4 linked regions of the Yarrowia lipolytica genome follow. The protein of the gene in region 2 purifies or fractionates together with the protein of the main gene of each other region. This does not show direct contact. Links are inferred from orthologs where the notes say so. Each region holds a gene or a part of one and is shown on either strand. Other genes may lie near its edges.

Region 1 (7,399 bases), on a different chromosome or scaffold from region 2:
AGTGAGATCCATGAGGGAGATCTTTTCAGAAATTGATCCAGTCTTTCCATGTTCAGTGAGTGAACTTGCTGAAAAAGAAGGGGTGCATCCCGTGAAGAACCTATCTGCAGAGGATGAGCTCAGTTTAAATAGACTGGAGCAATGGCCACCCAACACCAACCATGTCGTGATCTTGGTCCAAAAAAATTATATAAGGGGGAGTTGGGACCCCCACTATTCTTACAGACAGACTCAGACGAACGCAGACAGTCACAGACGAACACAGACAGACAGAGTCGATCAACAGATATCCACTGTTGCAGTCAATGTCGCAGTCAACGTCGCAGTCAACGTCGCAGTCAACGTTGCAGACCGCCCTTTTGAGACCACCCAGTAAATGTCTGACATTATTCTTCTGGCAGCAGTGACAGATACACACACAATGTCTCTGGCTCCAGTGACAGATACGCACACAATGTCGCTGACTTCAGTGTTACTTCACACCGGTTCTCCGGTTCATGGTGAAGCCTTCAGTTTGTCTCCACTCCTTCTCTCTTCGCTCACTCAACGTAAGTACAGTCACAGATACCTCGTGAATGATAGCTAACACGGACCTGTGTCAAGGAAGTTTCACCCTTGAATATCTCTGTCAGTGGCTTTGCGAATGTATCACTGACTGGCTCTTTGCTCTGGCAGCGGCACATGTGATCCTCAAGAACTCACAAGGCACGGAGCAGGCTCGGTCATTTTATTCGGCCAAACTCGCTCTCAGCTCATGGCATTCGTCAGCTCATGGCTGTCAACAGGACATACAGTCTCGGATCTACTGACACTTGGCGCAGGCGGTCGTTCTCGCCTCAATGTTGAAATCGCCGAGAAACAAATCTCTACTCAAATGCCCAATCAGAAGCCGTCGCAAGGTTTCCATAGCGTATCAAAGAGATTCTAAGACTGATTGCCCAGGTCTTGGAGCTCGTTCGTTCGCTCACATTCTAGGCTCCACCCGGTCATCCGCTACATCCTTCCTCTCGCTTTTCCAATTCACCAGATCTGTTCATTCCCTCCATCACCCAGTTTCCTTCAATCCAATTCCCCCTCCACAGCCGTCCGGTCAATGGTCTCCATACGGTCGCCTACTTGTAGAGCCAGTGTTGTCCGTGAAGGATGGTGGTTGGAAAGAAAGGGAGTGAGGTGAATTAATGAGGTAATACGAGTGTAATGAGTGGTCCAGTGGTGAGGCAGGGTTGGGGTATGATCGTGGTCAAGGGGTAATTGAATTATTTCCTCTTCTACCGAGACCCCTTTATTGTTCAACCCCTTTACCTTCTGGCCGCAGCCGCGCAACACAGGCTCTGTCTTCTTGTCCAATGGTGCAGCGTCATTCATACCACGTCATCAAGTCGTTTCCATGCAACCTCCTCCGTTGACAATTCTCTACACGAATATCTATTCACCCTCCCCATACTGGCCTAGTTCTCCGCCCCTATACTCCCGTCATGATCAATCCTTGATAGCCTGCTCTTATCCCACAGTGCCCCCCAACCATTGCAAATGTTCTTAGCACAGAGGTGCCTCCGGTATTGATGGCGAAAGTCGCAGCCATTTCATTTGCAATACTTCGATAAGTGGCAGAAGCTCTCTGGCTTCTTCCGGAAAATCCAAGCTTCCCCTCGGAACTCGTTCCCAATCACAGCGCACGCTTTCGCACGTCTCCCACAGACACATTAATGATGACTGCCGACTTTGTACAGTCCTGATCACTACGGCAGTTCTCCATGCCACATTCCTCCTCACGGTTACGCTATAGGTGATAGGAATGTGTCCTACTTTCAGCCCGTGAGTACACTTGCATTGACTAACACAGGCCTTAAAGATCAGCATGTTCACAGGGGGTCCAGGGAATCACCAAGACGCTGCAGCACTACTCGGTTGTCGGTGTTCTGATACGATACAAGCAGTCTATCCCAACATTTATAGTCGGTGGTCAGTGGCAGTCGGCGCTCTTGGTGTTTTCTCCTACTGTTTATAGATCAGTAAATCTCGACTGTGAGTGGGCGTTCGCGGCGTTCGCGGCGGTCGCTGCTACTTTCTACTGCCTGGGTCGGTAACTCTCGACTCGGGCTGTGCCCTCATTTGTCGAACCTCCTCCGCGTCTGTCTAACAATTAAAATACATACCACTATCTACTTTACTTCTTGCTCTTCTTCTCCTTCTTGGGCTCGTCGTCGTCGTCCTCTCGCTTTCGCTTCTTGTCCTTCTTTTCCTTCTTTTCCTTCTTATCCTTCTTTTCCTTCTTGTCCTTCTTGTCCTTCTTTTCCTTCTTGTCCTTCTTTTCCTTCTTTTCCTTCTTTGCCTTCTTCTCCTTGACCTCCTCCTCAGAGTCGGAATCCTCGTCGTCAGAGTCGGCTCCGGCGGTGGTGTTGCCGACGGTGTCGGCGTCAGCGTTGTACTGCTTGCCGGTGGAAAGGTCGACCTTCTTGTGCTCGATCTTGTTCACGTCGGGTCGGACGGTGCCGACAATCTCCTTGCCCTCGAGCTGTCGGAGACGGTTCTCGACCTTGATTCGGTTGTCGATGCCGAGAATGGGCACGTCCTCCCGCTCCTCGGCAAATGCATCGTATCGCATGGACACGGAGGCCTTGGCGGCGAGCATTCGGGCAATCTTACCCTTGTTCTTGCCGGAGGCCTGGCCGATGAGCGAAGCGTGGTAGATGATACCGTACTTGGGGGTATCGTGCTTGGTCTTGAGGGCTCGGAAAAGGGCCTTCTCGGCACCAAGAATCTGGACGGTGGAGGCGGGGGCCTTGGCGAGGTTGACGAGGGAGCCGGAGTGGGCAATGAGCCGGGCACCGACGAGCTCGCCGACGAGGGCGGTCAGGTTGGGGGCAATGGCGGCCATTCGGGCGTTGAGGTAGTTGGAGAGCTGTTCTCGGTACTCGGCAAAGTCAATGACCTGGTCGGCGAGGCACTGGATGTTTTCGAGGTCAAACTCGGTGATTTCCGTACCCATGGAGACCTCGGCGGCAACCTTGAGGGCGGCCTCAACCTCCTCGGGGAGCACCTCAGACAGATCGGTCTCGGAGGCGTTGGATCGGTAGCCCATGGTCTTGATGACTCGGGCGTAGGCAATGTTGTCGGCGACAATCTTGGCCATCTCGGGGAAGTGCCAGCCGTACCACTCCTTGATTCGCATGGCGTATGTGTTGAGCTCCTTGTCCAGATCATCTAGTAATGCGATGGCCTGCACAATCATGGTGTCGACCTTGTCGGGGGAGAACTTGAGCTTGTGTCGTCCCAGCGAATGGGCCAGACCCAGGCTCATGGTGGCCAGGTCCTTCTCGGTGAGGCCGGGCAGCAGAGAGGGCAGGTTTTCTCGGATGGCTCGGAAGAGATCGAGCGAGGCGGACTCGGCAACCACGTCAAATGGCAGATCCAGCTTGTTGATGGCGTTGCCCAGCTTGGGGTCGGCCACCACCAGAGCAGACTTCTTCTCGTCCTTGAACTCGTTGAGCAAAGCAGCGAGCTTGTCGGAGACCCGGCCATCCACAATGGCGTTGACCTCCTCCAGAGCAGAGGCGGCAGAGTCAAACTTGGAGAAGCCCTTGACCTTGAACTGCGAGGTCACCAGCTCGGGGGTCGACAGCTCCTCGAGAATCGACTCCGACTTGTAGATCTTCTTGTCCTTGGCCTTAAGCACGGCGTAGCCGGCAGACGTTTCCGTCAGAATAAATGTCATGGTGTCGTGTGTGGGCGGTGGTGACGTAGATGACAAGTGCGGTTGTCAAGTGTAGTCAGTGGAGATGGATGGGAAAAAAATTTGGGACGACTAAATTTTTTCCAAAGTTTATTTTAGGGTTAGGGCCCAGGCGAGACAAGCCCAGATGAGAGTGTAGCGAATGTCTGGGCGAGTCTGAGCGGGGAAACATCTGAACTGATACATGTGGTATTTTCTGACCATTTCCCCATTTTCCCATTTTCCATTCTCATTTTGCCATCTTTCATTTTTTCCATATTTTCTCCAATTTTTCCAATTTTTCCAATTGTCTTTTTTTCTTTTATCCATTTTCCATTTTTCCATTTTCCATGTCCCATCGTTTCCACAGTGAAAATTCTTCTCCTAATTTTGCTGTGATTCAGGAGGCTTGAAATGGGGTTTTTTTTAGGGAAATGATTTATTGATTTGAGATTTGATTTTATCTGATTTATTTTGATTTTCAGATTTTCCGGTCCCAATTTTCCCATTTTATTTCAGATTTTCCGGTCCCAATTTTCCAAAAAAATTCCCACGCTACACCACATCTAAATACGGTCGAATCTTCCTAGACGGCTCCATATTTCCACTAATTTCACAATAAAGTAGGTACATTGTGCGATTTTCTTTTCTTCCTTTTCTCTTTTTTTATCCCATTTTTTTGTATATATTTGTATATATTTTTATATTTTTTTTCATTTATTTATTTAATTTCTAGTTATTTTTTATTTATTTTAATTCATTTGCTGAACCGCTCTTCCGATCTGCATATCACTGCAGAAAGTGATATCGATAAAAAAATAGTCAGATATACTCAAGTGGAGCCAAACGGAAACAGGATCGACGGGATTGAATGATCACGTGATGAGAACAATGGGTACTTTCAGGGTGGTCACGTGATCAGAGTCTTGGTCGGCGCGGTGGGGGTGACCTTGACTGACCTGGGGGGGGGGAATGTCTGATGGGCTGTCGCTGACTAAGGTGATAATAGGGCAGAATTCGTAATGCAGAATTTGTAGATTAGGAGATTCTTGGATGCTCACGGTGATGAGGTACTCGTATTGTAGGTACTCGTAGATATGTCTTACCGAAAACAAGTGGACGAGATCACCTTTTGACGAAAGAGACACTCTTTTGGCGATTCCAGAGACTCTGTTTGGCTTCCCACGACTTCTGATGTATACACTGACTCTCATCTTGAAGCTCCAACATTGCTCAGATTTGAATGGTTGAAGTTGCAGTTTGTTAATGGGGTTGTTTTAAATAGTATGCTCCATTCAATATTTCTCATTTGTTCTTTGATTGTGTTGAAAAACATGAAAACTATCTGGAAAGGGTTTGGTAACAGTAGCTAACCAAGTTTCAACAAATGACACCAGAATGCTAACCAATTTTCAACAAATGTCAACAAGTAAGATTTCAGATAAGTTCGTCTCCCGCCGACCGTCCACCCGAAATATTAATACCATTGTGGAGCTGTGATTGAGGAGATTCCAAATATTTTATTTTCGACACGATTTCATTGACCTACCGAGAACTGGAGGGCCCGTCTGGTTCTAAATAAACTTTCTGCACTTACTCCAGACACTTGTCACCACTTTTAGCCACTCTCTCCACTTGACCAATGATCAAAATCAAGCTGAAGCCCGAAAAACGGTCGCCGGAGGCATCGCCGGAGAAGCGGCGGACCAAGAAGCGCAAAACGGATGAGGAAGGGGCCAAACCGAGCACTCCGTCGCTCAGCATCAAGTTGAAGGCGCCCAAAAAAGAGCGGGAGTCCAAGCCGCGGTTGTCCCTGAAACTGAGCAACAAAAAGAGCGAGAGCGCGGCGCCGGAAAGCAGCCGGGCGTCGACCGCGAGTGGCGGATCCACTAAAAAGAGCAAGGTGGTGCCGCGGATCCGAGTCAAGGCCGCCCGCGAACCGGGCCAGGGATACGACAGCGAAGCGCCGGACCGCGAAGACGATCCGCTGATTGAAGAGGGATTGATTTTGCGATTCCCACCAATCGGTAAAAGAGGCCGCGACGACCTGTCATATCTGCGGACGGCGGTGGAGAACCAGGATTACAGCAACATTGTGATTCGGTTCAAGGACTCGCGCAGGGCGGTGGTTTCTGTGCGGGGGCGGCATTACGCGGCGAAATTGGTGGACTTGCCGGCGATCGTCGAGGCCCAAAAGACGTTTGACCGCGGCAAAAACATGTTCAAGTGTCTGGACATTTGCCAAATGTTACTTGTCACCGAGCCCATTTCGTCCGAACACAGCATTATGGAGGCGCGGTCGATGCAATGGGACAAGAGCTCCAGCGAAAGCGCGCTGACCTGTCGCCATGGCCTGACTCCGCCGTTGTTTGACGCCAAACGTCGCCGATTCAGAAAAACCGTGTCCACAAAGGTGATTGAATCGGTGGAGCAAAAGGTGACGGACTTGCTGGATCTGGACGACGAGGCAGACTCCACATCATATGAGCTTGTCGATGGACGCACCCTGGCGTCCTTGTATGGAGCCGGTGGGGTTGCGGGCTCGCAATCTGTGTCTACCACTGTTTCTGCCGCCGCCACTCCTCCTCCGCGGTTTGCCATGGTCGACGAGGGAGAAATGGACGTGGATTTGCTCGATAAAGAGCTGGAGCGGGCCCTGGAGGACCAAGGCTCGGATGAGGGCGAAGAAATCGAGGCCGATGATGCGTCCGAGTCCGAAGATGAGGGAGAAGGCGCAGGTGAGTCGGACAACTCGGACGAAGAGGAATTGCCCCGAGCGTCGGCCGGAATGGACGATGACGACGACGGTGAAGAGGGAGGACACGCCAAGGTGCTGGTCGACACGATTGCAGATCTGGAGGCGACCATCAAAAAGCAGCAGGACGACGCCGACCGCACCGCCAACGCCATGCTCAAGGAGCGGTTCAACCAGCGAATCTCCAAGCTCAAACATGAGCTGGAGGTCAAGAAGAAACAGCTCAAGGCAAAGAATACCATCAAGGAGAAGAAGAAGGAGATCGATAAGAAGGAAAAGAAGGAGGAGAAGGAGGAGAGTGAGGACAAGGTGGAAAAGGGCGAGGTCAAGGACAAGGGTGTGGGCAGTGACGACGATATGGATTTGGATGATTTGTTTTAGCCGAGCTCGGCAGGGTGGGAGTTGATATGGAGAAAATCCAGACCCGAATCTATTCCGTTCCACACCAACGACAAAGTCCGATGGGTCCGCTCGTGGTCCGTTCACCAGAGGAGTCGACCTGTGAACTTCAGTCATCTCTCTACACTGCTTCGATATGCCACGGGACCTCCACCGTATGTCGTCTAACAACGGTCTGCATCGGTCTAATGAAATACAATAATTTATTCTGGTTCTGTACGAGTAGTGGAGGGTGTGTGCATGTTGTCATATGACTGGCATAGTTGTCCACGTGTTCAGTTTTCACGTGACCGGAGCACAAGATCGAGTAGTTGGTCACGTGTCCAACTTCCGCGTCTCACGTGACGACACTATGATACTTTGGTTCTGTCTGCATGAGATTCATTGACTTGGAGGTGACTTCATTCTTCCAGAGCTACATACGGTCCGTCCCCTGAAAAGAAGTGCACAACCCAGCCAATAATAAACCTATCGACGGTTAACAACAAAACAATTGTGTTCACCTGAACAAGAGCTCTTCAACGATATAATTT
Region 2 (10,381 bases):
ATACATAACCCTGGTGGCTAAAGCTGGACCGTGGCGCCAAAAGTTTATATTGTTTGAAGTGCGAACTTTGAAAAATTCACACAACATAAAAGCGTTGCAAAGACCAGACAATCAAATTCGCAATGTTCAACGTCCTTCGATCCATTAGCCGAGTTCCGGCCATGATTACTCTTCAGCGACCCTCCCTGTTCCAGACCGCTGGCCAGGTGTCTCGACCGGCCGTGAATGCCGCTGCCGCCATCACCGTCCGAGGAATGAAGACCAAGTCTGCCGTGCGAAAGCGATGCCCCGACTGCTACGTAAGTATCCATCCACAAGAGTTTTTCGTGACACTGTTCACTAGGATCAAGTGATTCCGCCCCTTCTAGACACGTTACTAATATCAGATTGTCACTCGAAAGGGTCGAGTTTTCAACTACTGCAAGACCCACCCTCGACACAAGCAGCGACAGGGTTAAATGATGCTATTTATTGTAATTGTACATATTTCTGATTTACCAAGGGAGTGTGGGGGCGAAATTGCGTACACTGGTTTCGATGTGGACGGAGTGGATGTGTAGATAGGTACTGTATTCAGTTTGCCGCCTGATCGGATGGCCACAGAAGGACAGAAATTGGAGATCTTACAGAACATGTACCGTCAAAATAATAAATCAACGCTTACACATCTCAAAACTTCAACTCTTTCAAAAGTTCACTACTTGTACAATTGTAGTTGCTTAGCTACTCATTATCTGAGCACATACACTGCAGTACTGATTTATCATCTCTATACATTGCTCACTAGTTCTGCCAAGTTTGCTTACTTCATTGATCAATTGATCATAAATTATTCTATAATATTTTGCATGTACATGTGACTACTGTAGCACTCATGACTTAGTCAACCTCCACCACGGTAGGGCACTTGCCGCCGCAATGGGCAGCACCCTCACCTGCGACAGGGAAACCTCCAGAGACTCCGTAAAACTTCATCAAGATAGGGTTGGAAAAACTCTCAAGCTCCTTCTGCTTATCGGAGTATTCTTCACTGGCACTGGATTGTGTAGCATCTAAGAATTCGATGGTCTCGTTAATAGCCTTCTTGAGCTTCTCTCGGTCCGCTTCACAGACCTTCCCCTTGAACTTGTTCTCGGAGAGTGTTCTTGAGGGAGAAGGAGAAAGACTTGTGGCCATTTTGGCGGCAATTCGAGCTGACTTTCTCTCTCATCCTCGTCCTTGTACTTTTCAGCATCGTTCACCATTCGCTCAAATTGCTCTTTGGAAAGTGGACCTTTGTCCTTGCAACAGTGATCTGCTGGGTATTACCAGTACTCTTTTCAACAGCGGAGACGTTGAGAATACCGTTGGAATTAACGTCGAAGGTGACCTCAATTGAAGGAACACCTCAGGGAGCAGGAGGAACTCCGGACAGCTCAAACTTAGAGAATGAATCTGAATCGGTGTCTGAGCCGAAGAAGAAAGGGTTTGCTAAGCACGTTCACAAGCGGTTCGCAGTCTAGCTGGTTGGTGGAAGTGTACTTTTTGTGCGTTGAGCACCGGTAGCTACAGTATCGTACATACTTGCAGCAAGATAGATCCTTTAGAACACAGACAGAAAGTGAAATACAGTGCTACTGTAGCTTGATTTACTGGTTCACCAAGTGAAGGTCTTAGACCACCAAGCGACAGAGCAAGTATATGGGTATGTGCAGTGTATTATTACTGAAGTGAGAAAGTGCCACTTCTTTCAAGTATGTGGTCAAAGGTGTTTTGGACAGAGTCAAGAGAGTCCACTACAATTACGAGTGTACGATACATATACTGTAGAAACAAAAAGAACACCACAATTGCACTCAGCGGTCATTAAATTTTTTACAATTAATTAGATATTCATTTTTGGAACACCTTAAGCAAGATATCGGTCGAGAGACTCGCCAAGAACCTCCTCAACGGCAGGAATGAGTTCGGCACGAACAGCAGACTCAACCTTTTCATCTTCACTTTCAAGGAGCTCGGCAATCTGGGGTACGAGCTGAGGCAGGAAGGGAAGGAACTCCTCGCCAACGTTGTTGAACAGAGCAGCGAAACATCGAGATCCATAAAGAGGAGCCTGGCGTAACAGCTTGATCATCATGTCGTTGAGCTGCTTCTTCTGGTCCTCAGAGGCCAGCTCGCAGAGAGCCACAACAGCCTTAATGAGAAGCTTGGAATTCTCGGGCGCAACCTTGGTGAGATAGGGGAATTGCGCACCCAGAGCGTCGGAAATCTTAGTGAAACGCTCCTCGTTGTTCCAGAACTCTTCTCGGTCAAATCGGAAAGAAGAGTAAAGGGAAGAGAGAATGTTTCGCTGGAGAGCAGGAGTGATTGCAGAAGCCTTGTTAAGAATCTCCAGAGCCAGATCGATGATGTAACCGTAGTAGGAGGTAACAATAGACTTGAGGTTCTCCTGCAGTCGGCAGACAATCTTGAACAGCAGAGTGGATCGCTCGGGAGTGTTCCAGTCGACAATCTTGACGAACAGAGGTCGGAAGGTTTTGTCATTGAGCTTGAGGACAATGGCAATCAGGCACTTGATGAACAGATTCTGGACACGAGCGGCAGTGTTGGCCTCCAGTTTCAGAGAGGAGTCGAAAGCTTCCAGACATAGAGTGATAAGGCTGTCGGCCTTGGAGTGGATTTGCTTCTTGTCAGCTTCGGCGACCGCCAGATCAAGCGTGTCAGCAAACAGACGAGCATTCTCGAAGCCCTCAACGAACTTCCAGGAGTCGCACAGAGTCTGGAGGACAACTCGAGAGTCCATGGTCTCGACACAAACAACAAAGAGCTGCTTACGGGTATCGGTATCAGCGGGACACTTGAGGGCAAATTCAAAGATCTTGGGTAGAGAAGAGACCATGAAAGAGGGCAGTCGCTTGATGAAGGTGGCAAAGAGAGCCAGAACCGACAGAGCAATGAGGTTGTCGGAAGAGTCTCGAGCAAGAACAGACGAGATAGTGGCAGGGAACAGACCAATCATTCGGGCACCCAGTCGGAGACACAGAGAAGAGAGGACAGATACGGCCTGGATGAAAACATCGTCGTCAGAATTCTTGAGCTGTGCTACAGCTTCGCCAGCACAGGTGACAAGAAGGGCATCAGAGCACTTAGGGAAGCCAGAGGCCACAGTTTCCACGATCTGGAGCAGCAGAACAAGATCGCCAGTATCGGTGGTGGACTTCAGCAGACTGTGCAGAGACTCGAGAAGAGTGTCGGAAGCCTTGGTATCTTCCTCCTCAATAGAACCTGAGGAGAATCGGGCCAGGACAGTCTTGTAGACAGAAGAGCCAAGTCGGCCAGCAACAGTGACGAAGAGGGGCAGAGGCAGCAGAGACAGGATAACGTTGAGCAACTCAGGGTACTGGCTCTCAATGAGCACGGTGAGCACGTTCTCGGCAATCTTGAGGGCCTCGGGGCTCTGGACAAGACCGGCCTGGAGAGGCAGAATTCGGGACTCGAGCAGAACAACCAGGAAGTCGATAGGAGAAACCTCGAGCTCCTTGTCGACCTGCAAGAAAATCTGTCGTCGAGTCTTCTTTTCCTTCTCCTTGGTCTTGGGGTCCGTAGCAATGATGGCGTACAGCTCCTGGACCAGAGTGACATAGGGAAGAACGACAGCAAGCTGCTTGGAAGCATCGAAGAGCTTGAACAGAGAGTCGCAGAACTTGGCGATAGCAGAAACTTCGGAAGTCTTACGTGCAGTCTTAAGCTCAGCAGACTTCTGGGCAAACAGGAATAGCAAAGTGGCAAGGGCGTCCTTGGTTCCGGAGGCATCCAAGGCTCGGACAAGCTCGCCAAACAGCTTGACTCGTCGGTGCTGAGGAATGTGGGGGAAGGCGGTGACGAAAGAGACCAGAAGCATGTCAACCTTGTCAGTGTTTCCAGCTAGACAGGGCACTATTCGCGCCACAGTCTGTTCGATGACATGGACGGAAAAGTCGTCGTCCTGTCGGAGAGTGTTGGCGCCCATAAAGGTGAAAATGGGCATGACAGAGTGCAAAACCAGAGTTGGGGCCACAGTAGCAAGCTCAGCAACAAGGAGCAGGTACTTGTTCTGGATCTGGGCGTTAGAGGCGGTTCGAATAGCAGAAACAACAATGTCGACTCGGATATCTCGATCAATGCTGGCTCCATCGTGTTGGTTGGCTCGAATGATGTTGAGAAGAACATCAGCAAGCAGAGACTGGCAGTAGTCAATAGGCAGGTTGGAGTCGGTTCCGAGAGTCAGAATCTCGCCAAGCTGAGTGAACAAAGGGCCTAGAAGAGCGTCGTCAGTGGTCTTGGATGCAACAAGCAGCTCCAGAACCAGAGAAACCTTTCGCAAGTTTCGCTCAGCAATATGGTGGAGCTTGCCCTGTAGCAGGTTTCGAACGGTGGACGAAGAAGATCGTCTCCGTCGTTTAGTAGACTCGTCAGAAGGAGCATCCATGGAGGTTGTGTTTTGCTCGACCTTGCAGTCATCCAGCAGAGAGATGAAGACCTTGGTAGGGACATCAACGTGAGCGAGAACATCAAGAGAGTCAAAGGGAACGTCCTTGTCAAGGGAAAGATCAACAAAGAATCGGAACAGGCCCAGGTGAGCATCTCCCTTGAGGGTGGGCCACAGCTTGACTAGTCGCTGGGTGACAATATCACATACTTCATCGTAGATAGGGGAGTCGTTCTTGATAAGGGACTCAAGGAACTTGATTCCGGTCTTGTCGGTGACAGTTCGGATTAACTCAGTAATGTACGCCAGATCGTTGGGAGGGTTGATGTACAGAGGCTCAACAACCTTCGTGGTAGGCACAATGGGCTCCTCGGAAGAAGTGACCAGAGTAAGAAGAGATGTTCTAATGGCGATAATCTCCTGAGATACCGCGTGCGAGCCGAGGTAGGCAAGAACCGCGGTTGAGAAGGCGCTCTTGTAACCCTTCTTCTTAGAGATCATATCAGAGACCTGTCGGATAACAAAGGACTCGTCCAGAATACACTCCTCGAGAGACAGAGCGTTAAGAAGGACGGTAACGTCACCAGAACCGAGGTAAGAGCAGTCGTTGGTGTAAATCTTCTCCACTCCCCAGATGGGTTTCTTGTTCTGCTTGGACTTGAGCACTTCGGCGAAGCTAGCAGCGGCCTTTCGGACTCGCTGGGATGCGTCAGAAAGAGCAATGCATGTGTAAGGGATGAGGTTTTGGAAGTCGGCCTCGCCAGCGGCAGTAATAATAGTCTTAGCGGCCTCCACGGCAGCAAGACGCGCCAAAAGAGGTGAGGGAGAAGCCCAAATTCGAGCAAAGAAGGTTAGGGAAGCAATGTCAGAGGAGAACATGCTGACAAACTTGTCCATAGTGTATCCTCGCTCGATGAGCTGAACAAAAATCTTGGAAAGTTCCGCGTAATTCTCGGAGGTCTTGGTTGAGAAGTAGGTGGTGGTCTGAGAAGCGGCTTTCTTGGCCTGCTCAACGAGAGACTCGACATCAACATCCTCCTGGATCTCCTCGACCTCCATCTCCTCGACGGCAGCCTCAGTAAAGACAGTCTGGAGCTTGAGCTCGAGCTGGTCGAGTTCAGGCACAGTCTCACCTCGGGTAACCCACTTGGCGATGACGGGAGCAGCCAGAGCAGCAACAGACGTGTTGGTCTCCTTTGCAAGGGCCCAGTCAACAATGTAACGCATAAGGAAGGTGGACTCGTTAGAGCCAAACTGGGTGTTGGAAATGATCTCTTCAAGACCCTTGAAATTGGCAGCGTCGGGGTTCCGGAGCAGAGCCATGCAGTATCCGAGGGTGAAAAGAGCCATCTTGTACTTCTGAGATAGGGCGACAACATCTGAAGGCTGAAAACCGGCCTTGTTGAGAGCGGTCATGACGCTAGTGGGCAGCACCTCGGGCTCCTGCTTTTGTTGGTACATCTGGGTGATGCAAAGAATACCGCTCTTGATGGCCTTCTGGGTCCAGTTTGCAGCGATGGTCTCAACGAGAGCGTTGAATACCTCCTTGTTGAGAGGCATTTTGTTACCAAGAACAGTCAGAACCATGTAGGCAGCAATCTGGCAGTCGGTATCGATGGTGACAACGAGCTTGGCCAGAGCCGGCAGGTAGATCTCCAGCATTCGCTCGGGGTCAGCCTTGTCGGCGACCAGGCCGTAGATGGCAAACTGCGACCAGAAAGACAGCTGTCGCTGGTATGAGGTCTTTGTGGTAGTCTGACCAACGATATACTCGGTGATGAGTTCAAACAGACGCATATCAGCACTGAAGGCTCGGATCAACAGGTTTCGAGGGGGGTTCTGGGCAGCAGACTTGCTCTTGTTAAGGAAAACAAACAGGGGAGGGAGCTTGATGATGACATCGGCGACCCGCAGGTAAATGTCCTGGTCGTAATAGGGGAGGACACACAGGAGAAGCTGCTCAGCGTTCATCTGGTTGACATGGAAACGTCGGACGAGCCATTCCAAGGCCTTGACGGCAGGGGAGAGCATCAGGTAGGGTCCAATTAGAGAAAGGAACGCCGAAATGGCCTTGTCGAGCAGGTCGTTCTGCTCCTGGGTCTGCACATATCGATCGACATCAATAGAGGTGTCGCTGAACAGGTTATTCTCGAACTGAGCGAATCGGGAGTCCAGAGAGACGAGATCTCGCAGGCCTTCAACACCAACAGCGTGGATAAAAGAAAAGTCCTGATCCTGGGCAACCTGAGGCTCGTAAATGAGCGACTTGGAGTGCTGCTTGAGCTTCCAGGTTCGGTCGACGGTAGATCCGCCGCCGAGTTGGGACAGCTGTTGAGAAAGGGTAGACACTGGGTTAGTTTAATGGACGAGGAGTGACAATATGACTGTCGTCCCCAGTTTTTGGTACTCACTTATTCCCTTTAATTAATACTGTCGTTGACGAATGTGGTTGTGTATGTAGGTTTTCTGAAATTTCACCTCAATCTCTTCACAAAAAAATTGTTTAGCCTTGCATTGCATACTTGAGGTTATGAGTGTGAAGAATGTGTCCAGTATACAAGTATCGGTATATACTGTATGAAGAAGGTAATTGGAACAGATAACACTATCTAGGGATTATGTCATTAATGGATATTGTTGGATGCATGTAAAATTTTTCTGGTTTGGGGACGTATTTTAGACTTTATAGTGTCTACAGCTAGAGTGTAGAACTTTTTCAACTAACTCTAGCCCATTACTTGGTTTATACATGATCCAATAGATGAGAAGTCCCACCTGCCCCAGAGTCCAGACCACATAAACACCTAGCTGTCTCAAGAATGTCCGACGTGACATAGTCACTGTCGTCTGTCTCAGTCAATTGCTGTCGTATACGTTCCTCGTAGCCGCGACCATATTTTCCTCATAAGCCGTTCCATCAACTCGTACAAAGCAGCATCGTTGCTTGAAGTTCAGGATTAGCTTCGATGATGCATGAGCAATGTGATGAAGCGAAATCGAAGCGTAACCTGATACCAAAACAGTCTACGCTACAATACATAACCATGACCAGCACTCTGAGCACGACCAAGAACCACCTGGTGATTCTGCCACCAACCACAAAACCAACAATTGTGTCGTTGACACACCCTCGAACCAGAAACCTGGCTCGATTCGTCGTTGACTCCTCCGACCCCAAGCACACTAAGGTATACGAAATCACCCAGATCAACGGCTCCAATGCGCACTTCGAGGGCACACCTGATCCCCGAAGCATCATTTTACAAGTCGAGGGTGACAAGGGAAGTGTGATTCAGGATCCCTCGGTCTTCATGACCACTCCCTTCTCTCCACTATGGCTCATTCTACCCACTCTGGTGCGGCATAAGGACAAGCTGATGACTCTGGACGACCTGCACGAGGCATCGTGCCACGGTGTCGACAGGATGGACTTAATCACTCAGGACACGTTTGATAAGTACATCCCAGATGTGTGCGAGGTTATGGACGAGGGAGAGAAGTTCTACAAGCTGTCCAACGAGAAGTTGCTTGCTCACTTGAAGGCTATCGTCGCTAGCATCAAGAAGAGCCTGCCCAACGATATTTATGTGCGACATGTACAGAACTTGCTCGACTCAGACGCATCAGACGAGATCAAGGATCTCGCCAAAGAGCACATCTCCATGAACATGCTGGGTTCCAACCTACCGCCAGATGTCACCGAGATTTTGCTGAAAAGCGTCGATTTCGAGCCCTACAACAAGCACAAGGCCGAGTATAAGGCCAAGAGAGATGCTGAATCGGCTGCACAGGGTCCTTCCGGTCCCCCTGAGAAGAAGCGGAAGAAATCTGCACCTGCCAAGGAAGAGAAGGCACCGAAAAATAACAAGCGACTTACTGCTTTCTTCTCTGTGGTGCCTAAGAAGTAGTAGGTAGAAGCGTTTTGTCTTCTACTGTGTAAAAACATTGACATTAATTATTGACCCCGCAGTGCAGTGCCCCGTAAGTCTACACACTTCGCTATCATTATACAAAGTCCTTAAATTACACCAACCTATACATACATAAATAACAGAGCTCCATCGTCTAAATGTCAGCCAAAAAGTTGCTGGGAGCTAGACCAGTTCGCTGGCCTCGTCCGTAGACCTCCACTTCCCACCAGCCATCGTCCTGCATTCGCAGTACCAGCATCACTTCGCCCTTTCGGAACGACACCTCCTCAGCTATGGCAGCTCGGTAGTCGTACTGCGCTCTGGAATAAGATATAACTGGCCGTCCATCCGAAGAGACTCGTGGGAGCTGTGGTGCGCCTCGAGGAGATGACATTCGGGGATCTGGGTTAAATCTAGGGTCCATTCGGGGATCCACTCGAGGCTCACCCATGGACTTGGATCTAGGACGACTATCTTGGTATTGCTGTTGTTGTTGCTGCTGGGCATGCAGGTGGTATTGCTGCTGCTGCTGCTGCTGAGCTCCGTAGAGATCGTAGGATCGCCCGTTAGGTGTGTGGCTTCGCTGAGGTCGCTGTTGACCTGAAGCGGCATACAGGTTTGGCTGAGATCGACCATGTAGAGGTTCAGAATAAGGGTTGGCACTACCAGGTCGAGCAGCAGGGTTGGGAGAGACACTTCTCAGCTGAGGATCGGGAGAAACAGTACGAGGGTAGTGGTTGTCTCCCACAATGGAGGGGGAATGAGCTCGCTGGCCCTGTTCGGCATAGAGCTGTCTCTGGATCTGTTCGGCGGAAGCTCCCTCGTAATAGCTCTTCGGTCTGGGCTGGTCAGATCGAGGTGCTCGTCCTCGCTCAGGCGTTCGCTGGACGGGTTTGCGATGCACAGGCTCACGGGTTGCTCCTCCAGAGTCCCGAGAGTGTCCCTCACCAAACATGTTAGCAGCGTACTGCTGACTAGTCTGCTGCATGTCTCGAGCTGTGAATGCAGGGGCAGGAGCATTGAGGTAGGAGGGCTCAAAAGACCGGCCAGGAGATGAGGGTGCTGATCGAGAAGCCACCCGTCGCTGAGAAATGGGCTGGCCACTTCCAAGAGTACCGTACTTGGAGCTATGAGGCTCAGTGTTGGGTGCGGAGGACACTGAAGAACCCACGGAGGAGCTCGACCCCACAGACAATTTGAGCTGTTCAAGGGCAGCAACAAGAGGATCGTCTCGGGACAGCTTCTTGACATTCTGAGAGGAGGCACTATTCATCGTGGATGGAGGAGCAGGCGATGAAGCCATGGCAGCTCGCTGAGGAGCAGGAGACTTCGAAGGGCTCAAGTCAAATGTGTTAGCTCCAACAGACAAAGCCTCATGAGTCTCGTTAGAGTCGTAAGGGGTTCGAGACCGAGGGTTTGGAGTTCGGGCACGCTCCTCGGCAGGGTCTCGAGACTGGCTTCGGTTCCAGCCCTTGTTCAGATCCTTCTTGGACCGTCTTCGGAAAGGAGTAGCCCAAGATCGTCCTTCCGTACGGCCAGAGGGCTCCATGACAGAAGAGGGCTCGTTTACTGACGATCCAGCCCAGTCAGGCTCAGAATAGACAGAAGAGCCAACCTCAGATGCGGCAGGCGCAGTAGAAGATGGAGCCCCAAGCTTAAACGAGAAGACATCTCGGGCAGTCTGAGCAATGTTGTGAAGAGGAGAATGATGAGCTGGCTTGGGATCAGGAATAGCCTGTTCCAGAGATCCAAACGAAGTGTCGGGATCCATAACATGTGAACCAGCTGCTCCAATTGATGAGTTCATCATATCGTCCATAGACTCGTCTCCAGTACCAGCAATTCGAGGGAACTGGGCCACCTTGAAGCTGTTCTCAACATTATCATGAGAGTGTCCGTTTAAGAAGTTGATGAACTCCGGGGGATCCTGAATTTCGGCACCAGTGGAGTTATCTCTCACAAACTGCATAATATCCTCGTTGACGTCTGTCTTCTCCAAGGCCAGACGAATGTTTTCACAGCA
Region 3 (6,931 bases), on a different chromosome or scaffold from region 2:
CTGCATCGAACGCACGCTATTAAACTGCTCATAACGTACGATTCTGAGAAAATCTCTTGTGCCTCATCATTGTTCGCGCACCCTGCAGAGCACTAAACATCATACGGCGGGAGCCCGTAGTTTTTCCGCGATAGTTTACAGGCTCTGCAACTACTGCAATTACCGTGCATCATTTACAATTCTCTCCCCTTGTTCTGACTGTCTAATTTGCTTGCTATCCAACATTTATGTCATGAGCGCGCCTCCGATCTGGCTTTGTTTTCTTACCGCACTCTTATCTCTCATGTCGCAACTGTGGTTGTAGTTACATTTTTGCTCATCGAGATAAGCCTTGATATAGCTACAAGTACAACACTTTGACGTTATCGTCAGTATTCAACCTATATACCCTTTCCCTAATCATTTACCTGATCCTCCACCTCTTCCTCCTACGACATGCTAACCCAGGCAACGGCATATCCATACACGCCGTCGGCCATCTGAATGATATGATACGAAATGTGATCTCCAAGAGATGCAAGAGATAGCACTCTGGTAGGGAAAGTGTGCACGGGAGAAACCACTCCCCGTGAAACCGCAGGCCCCTTACCGCCTCGTCGGGCCTTCAAAATAGCTGCAAGAATAGCAAACAGCACCATATCAATACCCACATGCACACCTATTGCCCGCAAGAGCAACAGGACTCGCCGCCTCCAGTTTCGGCGCGGTTCGGACGGATCCGCTGGCCGGTACTGCTTCGCCATGTCTGCCATCTCCTCGTTGATGGTTCGCAGAGCCCAGGCCATGTCGCTCTTGAACCTGTCCGACGGAATCGGAGGAGTATGCTGCTGATGCTGATGTTGGCTCTGGCTCTGGACCAGATTGCTCTGTGGATGCGGCGCAATGGCAGTATGGTGTGATCGCGAGTTGCCTGAGCCATGCGTCAGGTTGGACCCCTGCTGTGCTCGGCTTGATCCGCCCACCCCACTACCATGGGCGCCACCTCCACTGCCATGGCTCACGTGACTGGGAGAAGTGCCAACTTCGGCCCGTCCCAGAGCCGATCGAGAGGGATACTCGACAGCGTCCTCGTAAAGCTCCTCCTCGGCGCCCTCAGAGTCCGACGCGACGTCCTTGATCTGATCCCACATGTACTCCAGCTCCGCCAGCAGCTCGCGCCCCTCGTGAGTATCTGAGGCGTACGTGTTCATCAGGGAGATGAGGAACGACACGTATCTGCGCTTGGCTTCGGTCTTGGACAGCCCCTGCTGCTGTTTCCAGGCGTCCCACTTCTTCTGGCCAGCCACATCAATCTCCGAATCTCCAACCGGACGGGCCATGACACCCATCACGTCGCCCTCGGTGGCCTGCTTGTACATTCCATAGAGCTGGATGCGCGACTCGATAGGGGGGCGGGGTCGCGAGGAGTATCCTGGCCGTGAGGAGAGTGTCCGGATTGTGTTGATAGCACGGACAAATACCCGGTCTGAGTTAGTATAATGGGGGTGTTGGTGACCAGCTGTCAAAAAGACTGTATGAGAACTGCTGGGCCAGACAGGAGCGAGTGTGCACAGACCACCAACAGTCACTTCCAGCAATGTAGCAACCAATCTCGAACAGGAGTAACGAGAGCGTAGGTCCTAGCGAGTCCATTCAGCGGCAACAGACACTAGCAAGCCTTAGTGCCGCTCTAGCACACGACAGTATCTACGGCAAACGTCCGGAGCATGGTAGCAGCATGAAAGTAAGGGGCAGTTTCCTTGGACACATCCGGTCGGTGCGACAGGGTGGTACGGTCTTCTTTATATGGAATCCCTGCCACGGCCCTTGCCGTCACACCGTCCCTGTCTCTGTAATGTCTGTATCTGTCCAACTCGCCACCAAGCCGATTGAGACATTAATGTAGCTGAGCCGTGAAAATCTCACGTGTGCCAATCCGTTGGGGCTGTTTGTGTGCGTAGTTGGTTGCCTGTTGGACGGCTCCTCTTGGTGTTCTTCTGCTTGTGTCTGCCCGTCTCTGTGATCTCGGACCCCACACCTCGCACTACTGACACGAGTACTGGTGACACAAGCAGGTCCATTTCCGCGGTTCAGTTGTTGCCACGTGTCCTCTCCCGTCGTTCCCCTACTCACCAATGGAGTCACTCATGTCGTGTGTAATGCTGAGAGAAGATGTGATCTCGAAATCGAAATCTCAAACGCTATGTGTGATGGAGATGTGATGTGATGTGTGATGTCATATGTATGTAGGCTGCAGGTTATTGTGGAGAGCACAACTGGGAAATGCCACCACGTCAACCAGAGGGTTAGGGCCGGGTTGTGGACACGGAGAAGATTGAAATATGTAGCCGCGGCCCATTGACATTAATTGGCAGTATCTATCGCCTTCCCCATACAGCCACAGCTCTCCAAAGTGCTCTTGCTTGCCATTTCTCTTTTCACGTGGTGGGGTTTAGAGTTGTAGAACCGGTGGTATAATCTGGCTATGATTTCGGGTGGGGTAGGAGAACCCAGTATTAGTAGAGGAGCCGAGGTAGGTGATATTGGGGAGGTTTTTTGTCTACAGAATATTATGGACAGATTTTTCTTGGTGGCTAGAGCTGAAAATGGCCATCAAAGGTGCTACAATGTGGTTTGAGCGTCTCCTATAGACTGCCATAGTCTGCTGCTTAGTTCATTGAACTCTCCAAGTATTCCCCAAATGTTACTTGGATTCTTAATAGATTATAGTTAATATCTAAACAAACTACAGTTGATAGAGACTCATTCATCCAACCTGTATATTAATGCTATGCGTGCTTTTTTTGTCATCACCTCCCGGTGCCATTTAAACGTTCACGTGACTCCTGTATCTGTGTCCTGGACTAGTCTCCTAGTCATTCTTCCGGTGTCCTAGATCTTACCTCCAAACTTGCGAATCTCGTGTTTAGACAACTTGATTCCTCCAGCGGTGCTCTTACCAACCGAGTTGATTTTCAGACCTCGGTCTCGCTTGACAACCTTCTTCTTTCGAATGGCAAACCGGTTGTCCACCGGAGCCGTCTTAGCCAGAATAATACCGGCCTCCTGGGCATGCTCTTGCTCGGCCTTGACCTTGTTCTGGAACTTGGAGTTGACCATTTTTCGAGTCAACATTGGCATGTTCTTCTGGAGCGGGATATGTTTGCCTCCCAGACTCTCAATTCGAGACGTCAGGGTCTTAAGACGAGCCTTACCAATGGGACCATCGTCCAGGAAGGAAATATCTGCTCCAGAGAAGCTAGACTGAGCAGCCTGAGAATGCAAAATCGAAGACTCGTTGATAAGTCGTTGCAGAGCCACGTCATTCTGCAGGTCCTCCTTCTCCTCCTCCTCTTCCTCCTTGGTCTTGGGCACTCGTCTTTGAGTCTCACTGAGTAGCTTCTCCTTCTCCTCCTTCTGGACCTCAGACAACGGTGTCTTCTTGCTCATGAACCGTTTCTTCTCGGCTTTTTCGTTGAAGTCCCTCGTAGAACGGTCGCTTCCAGTGAACCGGACAATCACAGGTCCTTCTTCTTTCTTCGTTTCTTCCTCCTCCTCTTTCTCGCTCTCGGTGTCCATCTCATCGTCTGATGGCCGCTCCACATAAGTCTTGGAGAGCTCGACGAGATCCTCGTTGTCGTCAAAGTCATCATTGTTATCATCCGACTCAGACTCAGAATCTTCATCCTCTTTGTCGTCCTCCTTTAGCCCCTCAACATGTCCAAACTGGGCCTCAAATGCTAGTCTCATTTTTCTGTGGTACTCCTTCTCGGCGTCTTCCTTGGAGGTTTTTGCGGGTTTCGAGACCTTTCTGGAAGTATTTGTCGGTTTAACGGGTTTAGATTTGCTTGTTTTAGTCTTGACTGTCTTCTTGGCCTCCTCAACAGCCTCCTTTTTGGTATCTTCCTTCTTCACTTCCTTCTCCTTGGGCTTCTCCTCGAGCTTCTTCTGGGCAGGTTTAGCAGGTTGGGCTTGCTCAGCAGGCACTGGTTTCTTCGCGGGGGCCGCCTTCTTGGTCCCCTGGGCCAGATCGCCCAGATCAAACGGGTTGAATCCTCCTAGCATGATGAGTTGAGTGATGTTGCAGAGTCGAAAATAAATTTCAGGCCGTTGAAATAAATTTAATCGTGCATAAACTCAAATGGGGGGGTGAGATTAGTAAGAGAGAGGGAGAGCTGCCGAAGTGTGAGTAGGAGATGTGGAGGAAAAGGCGGGGGCTTATGTGGGGATTGGGGCGGGGCAGTTGCAAACGTCTACTTAATTGGACCAAATATCGGTACTTTTCAGACCCACGGCTCACTTTCTGACACTTACTTTCTACCCAAGTGAACTACAGTATGTACATACATACAGTTGAGTGAAGGAAGAGATTAGAGAGTTTCAACCGATAGCGGGAGTTCTGATTGTAGACAAGGAGGTGCTGAAAAAGTCAGATACAAGTACCGGTACAAGTACGTTATGTCAGTTGAACCATTGATGAATTCTGTCTCGTTTTCAACCCTCCAACTTCTCGTAAGCATCCAGTGATCATTCTAAAGGAGTTATATATTGTAGTTTCCGCACACACTCTACCTCAGTGTCTCAATCTCAGCTCTTCCTTGCCCAATGTTCATAATCTCCACCACACATAAATGACGACCAGAAGCAAAAAATGCAGTCACATGACCTGATCCACCACCCTATATATTCCTCCATAATCCCCTTTTGTCGCTTTGTCTACTCTGGCAGTCCCTACCATGCTCCTCCAACCCACCAATAAAGTTCCTGATCAGTACTATACATGAAAATGCATGATCTGTGAGAGTCATTATCTCAACTGCACCACCACAGTACTCACACCAAAACGCAGGTCCGAGCTCAGACATGACGAAATTCCGAGGCTGTATCGATATCCACTCTGGACAGGTCAAACAGATTGTCGGAGGCACTCTGACGGACTCAGACGCTGATCTCAAGACCAACTTTGTCGCTACCCAGCCTCCGGGATACTTTGCCCAGTTGTACAAGGACAACAATGTCGTGGGCACCCATGTTATCAAGCTGGGTCCTGGCTGCGACGAGGCTGCCGAGGAAGCCCTTGCTGGCTGGCCCGATCATCTTCAAATTGGAGGAGGCATCAACCACGACAATGCCGAAAAGTGGATCAAGCTGGGAGCTTCTCATGTGATTGTCACTTCTTTTCTGTTCCCCGACGCCAAGCTCGATATGAAGCGACTCACAGATCTGGAGGCCATTCTGGAGCCCTACGGCGGCAAGAAGCGCATTGTGGTGGATCTGTCGTGTCGACGAAAAGACGGCAAGTGGGTGGTGGCTATGAACCGATGGCAGACGCTCACAGACACAGAAGTCAACAAGGAGACGCTGGAGCAGCTGGCCAAGCACTGCGACGAGTTTCTGATCCACGCTGCTGACGTGGAGGGTCTCTGTAACGGCATTGATGAGGAGCTGGTAACTAAGCTGGGAGAGTGGCTTGAGGAGGGTCATTTGCCCCCTGTGACGTATGCTGGCGGCGCCAAGAACATTGATGATTTGGCCCTGGTGCAGAAACTGTCGCATGGCAAGGTGGATCTGACCTATGGAAGTGCCCTCGACGTGTTTGGGGGAGACAAGGTCAAGTTCAGTGACTGTGTCGAGTGGAATGAGAAGATGCACAAGTAGACATGGATGAGGATGAATAGATGAATAGAACGGTAGCAAAGCAAGCGTGAACTTGGAAAATGGTGGGTACTTGGTGCGGACTAACAGTGATAATGAACTATCGTGTCTGACTGTAGGAAGGCTGTGGGTGCAATCAGGCTGATCGGATGCCAGGAGTTGTGCACTTAAGTCAACAGAATGAGCCTCTCAGGTAGAACCTCTGTCAACATGGACCTCTACGGTTGATATACATTCTTCAGACTACATCTCGACACTTTGGAGTAGATGTACCGGCCGGTGCCTTGGTTTCACATTTCGCATGCATCTCGGAATGTTGATCTGTGGTCTACGGGTCACTTACATGTATCATTCATAAGATATATTCAAATAGCACAGCACACGTGTTAAAGCACATGGACACGGGCTATTATCGTGCTACTCACTCGAATCGCACTGAAATGCTTAAAGTCGAGAGTTGATGATGTCAACAAACTCGGGCTTGAGAGAAGCACCACCGACGAGGAAACCGTCGACATCAGACTTGTCCTTGAAGGTACCAGAGTTCTTGCCGTTGACGGAACCACCGTAGATGATTCGGACCTTGTCGGCCTGGGCGCCAATCTTGTCCTTGAGGTAGGCTCGGATCTCGTGGTGGATCTGCTGGGCGTCCTCGGCGGTGGCAGCGAGACCGGTACCGATGGCCCAGACGGGCTCGTAGGCAATGACCACGTTGGACCAGTCCTTGATCTTGGCGATGACGGGGTCGAGCTGGGATCGGACAACGTCCAGGGTCTTGCCAGCCTTCTTCTCGTCAATGGTCTCTCCGATACAGAGGATGACGTCGAGACCGTTGTCAAGAGCGTACTTGGTCTTGTCGGCAATCCACTCGGAGGACTCCTTGTTGATGGTTCGTCGCTCGGAGTGGCCGAGAATGACCCACTTGGCTCCAACGTCCTTGAGCTGGGCCACAGACACCTCACCGGTGAAGGCACCGTCTCCCTTGTCGAAAGAGTTCTGGCCAGCCACAGACACGGTGGGCTTCTTCAGAGACTCCTTGGCGAGCAGGAGGTAGGGGAAGGGGGGCGAGATGACCACCTCGGTCTTGGGGTCGAGCTCGGAGGCGTTGAGTCGCTCAACAATGGCCTTGATGGACTCCAGAGAGCCGTTCATCTTGAAGTTTCCGCCAACAAAAAAGGTTCGAGACTGTGTTAGTGCGTGCGCGCGCGGGGTTTTGTGTCGCTCAATTGACCGCCGGCCAATTGTCTCCTCAATCACTCACCATTTTGAATGTAGTTGTGTTGTATGTACGAGTACG
Region 4 (6,918 bases), on a different chromosome or scaffold from region 2:
ATTAGGAGTATTCTGGCGGGTCACCAACGGGGTTGTTGGTGTGAAGTTGAGAATTTTAGAGGGTAATCTTTCGAAAGTCATAACATCTATATAAGATATCTATGTTGATGTATTAAGGGGACGAGTAGCTTCCAAATGAGACCAGACTCGTATATATTCAGCTTACCAACTGTCGTATTATCAACACTTCACCTTCCACACCCCCAAATTAAACTTCCTGGGACTAGCTCTCTCTCATAACCTAACGCACAGGTTGACAACTCTTCATCATCATCAATAATGGACCGACACGACAACCGTGGAGGAGTGAGTATAGCGGATCGAAGGCTCAGCCATCCATTCACACGTACTAACAACAGCGACGAGGCGGCCGAGGCGGCCATGGCAACGCTGGCCATTATGGAGGACACAACCAGCACCAAAATCAGCAACACCAACAGAATCAGCAGCAGCAGAACAACCAGAACCAGGGCCAGGGCCAAGGTCAGAACCAGGGCCAGTCCAAGAAGCTGGAATTCCCCAAGCGAGAGCCCATTCTAGATCTGTCTCGATTCGAGAACAAGCGAGTGGTTGTCAAGGTCACTGGCCGAAAGATCGAGGGCACCTTAAAGGGCTGGGATCAGCTCATGAACTTGATTCTCGACGACGTCAAGGAGACCATTTACGAGGACGAGGAGAGCGAGGACTTTGCCGAGTTTGAGGGTCAAAAGGAAGGCAAGGTGCGAGAGATCGGTCTGGCGGTCATTCGAGGCCCTAACCTGCTTTCTATCTACCCTCTTGACGGAGGAGAGGGAGTTGAGGTGGAGCCCAAGCCCGAGGTCACTATTTAATTGGATAGTAATAGAGTGTATATTATGTTGTGGTGGAAGTGAGATGCTGCTGTCGTTTTTCTTAGCAATTGTAATGGGGCGCCATCAGAGGTGTACAGTATGTACTGGGATAAGTTAATGATATGTTCGGCTCGGAGCAGGTATTGAACAGTGTAATGACCCGACATACTCTTCGTACATGTACTGAATTTCTAGTTATAATCTATAAACTGCAATGGTTTCAAGTAGCTACGTGCTGTAGTGTACTGTATGTGATAGGGCTGACTACGCCATGCTCTGGGTTCACTCACACGACCCAACGCCACCCCTACTTGTAGTCTTACTACTTGTAGTCAGTAGAAACGGGGGCGTGTTTACCATTAGAATGTACAATAATGGTGCTTATCGAATGGATAAAGGGTTAATATATCGATTTCGATTAGTAATGTATCGAGCTATTGTATGCACATATTCACGCCCTCCACACACCACACACTTCCACATATTAGACTTGCCTGTCCCATGCGTGTTGGGATAATTGGCTTCACAGAACAGCGACACTCACTGATAAACAACCAGTCACACTTCTCCAGCCACCCAGCGACGGCCATACTCGAAAAGTCACTGACACACTCATGTCAAGGAATTGAACATTTCAGCAACCATAATGCAACTAGAACCTGCTCATCTTGTGTACGCCGCATTTTGGACATTTGGGTTGGTCAACAACGTGCTCTATGTGGTTATCTTGACCGCCGCAGTAGACCTGGTGGGACCTCAAACACCCAAGGCCGTGGTGTTACTGGCCGACGTACTCCCATCGTTCTTGATAAAGCTGGCAGCACCATTTTTTATCCACAAAATCCCCTATAACCGCCGAATAACATTGCTGGTTGGCCTGTCAACTGTGGGAATGATGTCTGTGTCACTAGCATCTCCTCTGTTTCTCAAACTCGTGGGAGTGGTGCTGGCTTCTTTCTCTTCCGGTCTGGGCGAGGTCACCTTTCTCCAATTAACCCATTTTTACGATACCAGGGCTCTCAATGGGTGGAGCAGCGGAACTGGAGGTGCAGGGCTAGTGGGTAGCGGGCTGTTCATGCTCTTGACCACGGTACTCGGAGTTTCAGTCAAGACGTCATTGCTTGTCTTTGCATTCTTTCCCCTGGCCTTCTTAGGAGTCTACTTCTATCTCCTTCCTCCTAGAGATTATAACCGTGTACCAGGGGCCTTCCCTGTGCACAGCAATGACCCTGAAACAGGTATTGAAACACAGCCAATCACCTGGGAGTTTGTTGCTTCTGGATACGAAACTACAATGGTCCGTTTGAAGCCGCTGGTTATGCCTTACATGCTGCCTTTGTTTCTGGTCTACTTTTCCGAGTACACCATCAACCAGGGAGTGGCACCCACACTTCTGTTTCCCATGGAAGAGTTGCCCTTTTCTAAGTTCAGAGATGTCTATGTGACCTATGGAACACTATACCAGTTGGGAGTATTTATCTCACGTTCGAGTGCACCATTTGTGAGAATTAGACGAATTATGATCCCCTCAGTGCTCCAGTTTGCCAACCTCGTGTTTTGCATTGCACAGTCTATGTCACCGATATTACCCAACGTCTGGCTGGTGTTCATTCTCATATTCTACGAAGGGCTGCTTGGGGGAGCTGCCTATGTCAACACCTTTCTGCTGATTACCGAACAGGCTGATTTGGCAGAGCGAGAGTTTGCTCTTGGTAGTGTTGGTATGAGTGATTCTGCCGGTATTGTTCTTGCTGGTCTAGTCAGTCTCTGGCTTGAGCCTGGACTGTGTAACTACCAGGTTAATGATGGTCGAGGTTGGTGCACTTTAGAATAGCTCTCTAGCCTAGCTAGTTAATTTATTTTAACCAAGTTATGCATTACAAATCTATTTTACTGAACAAGCAAGCTACTCCACGGATCGCTTCTTCTTCTTCTTCTTTTTCTCTCCCTCATCGTCGCTGTCATCGCTCTTTCGCTTCTTCTCCTTCTTCTCCTTCTTCTCCTTCTTTTCCTTCTTTTCCTTCTTTTCCTTCTTCTCCTTCTTCTTTTCCTTCTTGGCCTTCTCTTCGTCCTCGTCTGGCGCAATGAAGGCCAGCTCTCTCTGGGCCTGCTTCTCTGCACTTCGAGCAGCCTGCTGTTGTCGCTTCTCCTCGTCGGCTCGTCGTCGCTTCTCATCGGCACCCAAGAAGAACTCTCCAGACTCGATCTGCAAATCCACCTTTCGGGGCAGCTGGGCAGGAGGGAAAGCGGTTCGAACCTTGTTCTTGATGGTCTTGGGCTTCTTTCGAGCAACATTTCGCTTCTTGAACTGGGGCAGGAAACGGCTCCAGTCCTCCTCGGCTAGCTCGGGTCGCTTGGCCAGCTCTCGCTTGATCATGAGCTCCTTGATGTGGTAAATGGGGTGGATGTTCATCATACAGTCCTCAATCACTCGTCGCAGAGTCTTCATATGTGTGTAGGGACCCATGACAGAGACGGTGTTACCCTGAACAAGGATATAGCACTGTGTGAGCAGTTCCAGGGCCTTGAGAGTGTTACCGTTGGGTCCAAGAAGACGCTGTCGTCGCTTGACAAATCTCTCCTTGTTGCTGGTGAAGTTACCAATCTTGATAACGTCACATGCAATGCCGTCCTCGAGAATCTTGACTGCCTGGGGGAAAGGCACCGATCGGGCCAGCAGCTTGATGAGATCTCGAGCGTTCATAATGGCGTAAGGATCGTAAGTTTTTCGGGTGGTTTTGACGGTCATGGAACCCTCAACGAGATCCAGAACACATGCAATACCCTTTTGGTCGAGGGCTTTGGTGACATCATCCCAGATTTCCTTTAGGTAGCCTTCTCGGTACTTGGGGAACAGTGTGGCGAAGGAAGACTCCTCGGCAAAGGGCAGACCGGAAGCGTTGTCCTTCTCGGTGAACTCATCCTCGGCCCACTTATCAATGTGGGGCTGATCCCATGGCTTGTCTTTGTTATGAGTAGAGACCATTGTCGGCTGTGTAGTGTGTCGTGAAACTGTCTACCTTGGACGAGATAAATTTGTCGCATGAAAACTCAATTTTTTTTCTATCAGAGTTTGGCGGATTGGAATTAGTAGTTAGGTAATCAATAGCTACTTGGGAAATTAGTTTAGAGGTGGCACACACCAAAATTAAGTTTATGCACGTTGAACCACCTAAAGAGAAATATTTTGAGAGGCGTTGCCATACAACACAACCACAGACATTACACAACCATGGCAAAGACTAACGTGACAAAATCAAAGGCCAGAGCAGGTCCATTTTCCAGACCAACACGTGACAAGACTGGTGGTGTAAAAAAGACAGCCAAAAAGCCGGTGCCTAAACAGAAGAGCCAGAAACACAAGGACTCGGCTCTGCTGGATCTCGTCAACGATCCAGATGCTCTCAAGGATGTCTACTCTGTTAAATCCAAGGAGACACTGAAGAAGGAAAAGAGCGAGGCCCTTCTGAAACAGAAGGAGGAAGAACGAGAGAAGCGGCTCGTCACCAAGAAGGAGCTTGAGAAGCAGATGGACGACCTGGCCAGTTTTGGCCTCTAACAGATGGACCGATATATAGGTCTACGAATATATTTATTGCATTTTTGACAAACGATTTGGTGGCGTACAGTATATCACAGGATAGTGTGCTTTCAGATTATTAGCAGGGCTGGCCACCGCGTGCAGTAGCTAAATACTGTACTGTACTTGAACTAACTGCACATACGGAAGCTACGATAATATACAATTGAGTAGTAAAATAAATATAAATAAATAACTGGCCAGATAATAACGGGTCTCGCGTTTCTAGGCCTTGATAATCATGCCTCGTCTGTCCTTGCCTGCCCTGGAACGAGAAAACCATCCTGTCTTGAGCACCTTCACCAGCTCGTCCATCTTTTGCTGTTGCGCATCAGCACTCAGAATGGAGGCCAAGATGGAGAAACACTGTAAGAGTCTAACGGGAGTGTTGGCTCCCTGAGAAGATAGCTCGAAATTGGAAATGATTCGAGTCAACCGCTCAGAGTGAGGGAGAATGATGTAGTCTCTGAACGCACACAGAGTCATGAGACGAATGTTCAGCTGATCACGGTCCATGAGCAACATACCCCAGAACTTCTCGCTCTCTTCGGGCTTCATGCTCTTTCCGTAACCATCGAACTCCTGCTGAAGAGGCAGAAAGACACCCTCCCAGTAAGGGAGCACGTCTGAGAAGAAGTGACCCCAAACTGTCGTCAGGTGAGCAATAAGCTTGTCATCTGGCACACGGGACATAGTAGAGTCCAGCGTATACATGCCAGATCTCAGCAGGTCCTTGAATTCTTGCAACAAAGACTTGGCTGTGACATGCTCCTGGATCCGCAGATTAGTGTGCATCACCACCAGCTTGTTGAGATCTTCAATGGGGACTCGGATGCCTTCACCTGAAAACAAGGGAAGCACTCGAGAACACAGAAGCGCCCATGCGTCGTCAGCGAGCTGTTCCTTATCCTCCTTGGTCTGGTTGAAATTCTTGAGTTCCAGAGCACTGGAAAAACTCTTGTGTAAAGCACCAGGTGAGGAGCTCTGGAACGAGTATAAGGAACCGCCCTGTTCGTTGATGAGCTTGGAGTTGGACGAAGACGAAGACATGAAGGCAGCCGCAGAATGCACATCCTTCTTGGCTCTCAGCAGAATGGAGTGGGCCTTGTTTTTCGCACTGGGAGAGTCATCCTTAGCTCCGGCTGTCAAGGGATGGTTGTAATCTCCTCTGCCAGACGCCATGGTTGGCGTGATGGGTACGTTGCTGCCGATGCTTGCAATTCGTTCCAGTTCCTTGGAAGGTCTGTTCAGTGGACTTCTTTCTGCTAGTGAAGGACGAGTGCTGGGGAGTTGTGTCTGAATAGTAAGGTCAATGTTGCCTTTGCGCTTGAGTTTGGGCTTTAAACTCTTGGCTGACGATTGTTGTTTTGCTTGTTTGGCAAACAGCTTTGCCTTAAACAGAGCCGACTGTTTAGAGGGCACATTGGGGGCATACGCAGCTGCAGCGGCAGCTGTCGAACTGTCTGTGGAAGTTGTGTTTGTGGTAGAGAGTCCAACGTCATTGTTGTTTCCCATACCACCAACCACAGAGCTCATGTCGGATTTCACAGACGCGCTGCTACTCATAGCTGCGCTTGAGCTGGCAACGTTGTTAGACCCAGTGGAACCAGTAGCCACGTTTTTGGGGCTAGAGCTGGGCGAACGTTTTCCAGAAATCTTCTTACCCAGCTTTGAATTTTTGAGGCCATTGTGGCCATGTAAGTGGATTCCAAAAGGGTTATTTGAGTGGCCAAATGACCGCGTCTTCTTGGGACTGGTATCTGGAGGGTTGTCGTTTTGGGAAATCGGCCGTTGAGTCGACTGGATGGGAATAGATGATACCCTTCTGAGAGCAGTAGCAGCCGCAGTGGCAGCAGTAGCCCCATCGAGCGTGCTCATAGATTGTTGGACCGTATTAGTGCTGCTATTCGACGAATAGGAGCCAATGCCAGGGTTCCCACCGTATCCTTGTGATTGGCCTAGACCTGGGTTCGAGTGTGTCGGAGTAACTGGACTGTTTCCACTGACATTGCTTAGATTGATTGTCGAATAGTTGGACCCGATGAGAGTCGAATTCGAGTCGCTCTGGCCGTAGAAAGATGCAGAGGGAGATGATGGCACAGAGGATGTCGTCGTAGCACTGTTGGCAGCAAATGGGGCGTTCGGACGGACCAGGTTTCCTGCAGATGCCGATCTGGTAGCCTGATTCTGAACGGGTGGTGGCTGCTGAAGTGGCTGTTGTTGATGCTGTGATGCGTAGTGGTGTTGCTGATGGCCGATGTTGACGAAATCCTCTCCTCGAAGTTGTGGGCTAGGCCCCAGACTTTGGGTTCCATTTTGGTGCTGATAAGGCGCTGCAGGAGGGTTGTATTGTGGCTGCTGCGGGGGCTGCTGTGGCTGTTGATGCTGAGTTTGGGGACTGTTATATCCCGGGTAGCTGCTCAGGATCGGTCCAAACGGGTTGTTGTTCGTCGTCGTGTTGTTGTTGGTGCTAGGTAGCGGCGGAGGGGGTACATTCGGAGGCATGCT

Evidence for each region.
Region 1: the proteins of YALI1_E34933g (region 2) and YALI1_B01628g purify together in Saccharomyces cerevisiae (affinity purification with mass spectrometry; 7 studies listed by BioGRID). This does not show direct contact. The link is inferred for Yarrowia lipolytica from reciprocal best matches to the Saccharomyces cerevisiae genes UTP10 and NOP58.
Region 3: the proteins of YALI1_E34933g (region 2) and YALI1_F07819g purify together in Saccharomyces cerevisiae (affinity purification with mass spectrometry; 3 studies listed by BioGRID). This does not show direct contact. The link is inferred for Yarrowia lipolytica from reciprocal best matches to the Saccharomyces cerevisiae genes UTP10 and FAF1.
Region 4: the proteins of YALI1_E34933g (region 2) and YALI1_F37963g purify together in Saccharomyces cerevisiae (affinity purification with mass spectrometry; 6 studies listed by BioGRID, with this or other methods). This does not show direct contact. The link is inferred for Yarrowia lipolytica from reciprocal best matches to the Saccharomyces cerevisiae genes UTP10 and KRR1.

Annotation. Positions count from the first base shown.
Region 1 is NC_090771.1:159,095-166,493, forward strand, and holds YALI1_B01628g (uncharacterized protein), read right to left. Parts: upstream 3,716-7,399; coding exon 2,168-3,715; downstream 1-2,167. Other genes in the region: YALI1_B01644g (uncharacterized protein), read left to right, coding at 5,355-6,848. UniProt on the Saccharomyces cerevisiae protein: Required for pre-18S rRNA processing. May bind microtubules.
Region 2 is NC_090774.1:3,486,854-3,497,234, forward strand, and holds YALI1_E34933g (uncharacterized protein), read right to left. Parts: upstream 6,479-10,381; coding exon 1,889-6,478; downstream 1-1,888. Other genes in the region: YALI1_E34870g (uncharacterized protein), read left to right, coding at 123-299, 387-458; YALI1_E34880g (uncharacterized protein), read right to left, coding at 880-1,176; YALI1_E34942g (uncharacterized protein), read left to right, coding at 7,414-8,355; YALI1_E34979g (uncharacterized protein), read right to left, coding at 8,513-10,381. UniProt on the Saccharomyces cerevisiae protein: Involved in nucleolar processing of pre-18S ribosomal RNA. Required for optimal pre-ribosomal RNA transcription by RNA polymerase I together with a subset of U3 proteins required for transcription (t-UTPs). Involved in ribosome biosynthesis.
Region 3 is NC_090775.1:777,896-784,826, forward strand, and holds YALI1_F07819g (uncharacterized protein), read right to left. Parts: upstream 4,045-6,931; coding exon 2,872-4,044; downstream 1-2,871. Other genes in the region: YALI1_F07793g (uncharacterized protein), read right to left, coding at 429-1,465, 2,113-2,128; YALI1_F07827g (uncharacterized protein), read left to right, coding at 4,843-5,637; YALI1_F07847g (uncharacterized protein), read right to left, coding at 6,079-6,819, 6,896-6,898. UniProt on the Saccharomyces cerevisiae protein: Required for pre-rRNA processing and 40S ribosomal subunit assembly. Seems to act in the processing of 35S rRNA at the A(0), A(1), and A(2) cleavage sites.
Region 4 is NC_090775.1:3,793,248-3,800,165, reverse strand, and holds YALI1_F37963g (90S preribosome/SSU processome component KRR1), read right to left. Parts: upstream 3,817-6,918; coding exon 2,737-3,816; downstream 1-2,736. Other genes in the region: YALI1_F37998g (uncharacterized protein), read left to right, coding at 280-306, 360-830; YALI1_F37986g (uncharacterized protein), read left to right, coding at 1,477-2,664; YALI1_F37929g (uncharacterized protein), read right to left, coding at 4,636-6,918. UniProt on the Saccharomyces cerevisiae protein: Required for 40S ribosome biogenesis. Involved in nucleolar processing of pre-18S ribosomal RNA and ribosome assembly. Essential for vegetative growth.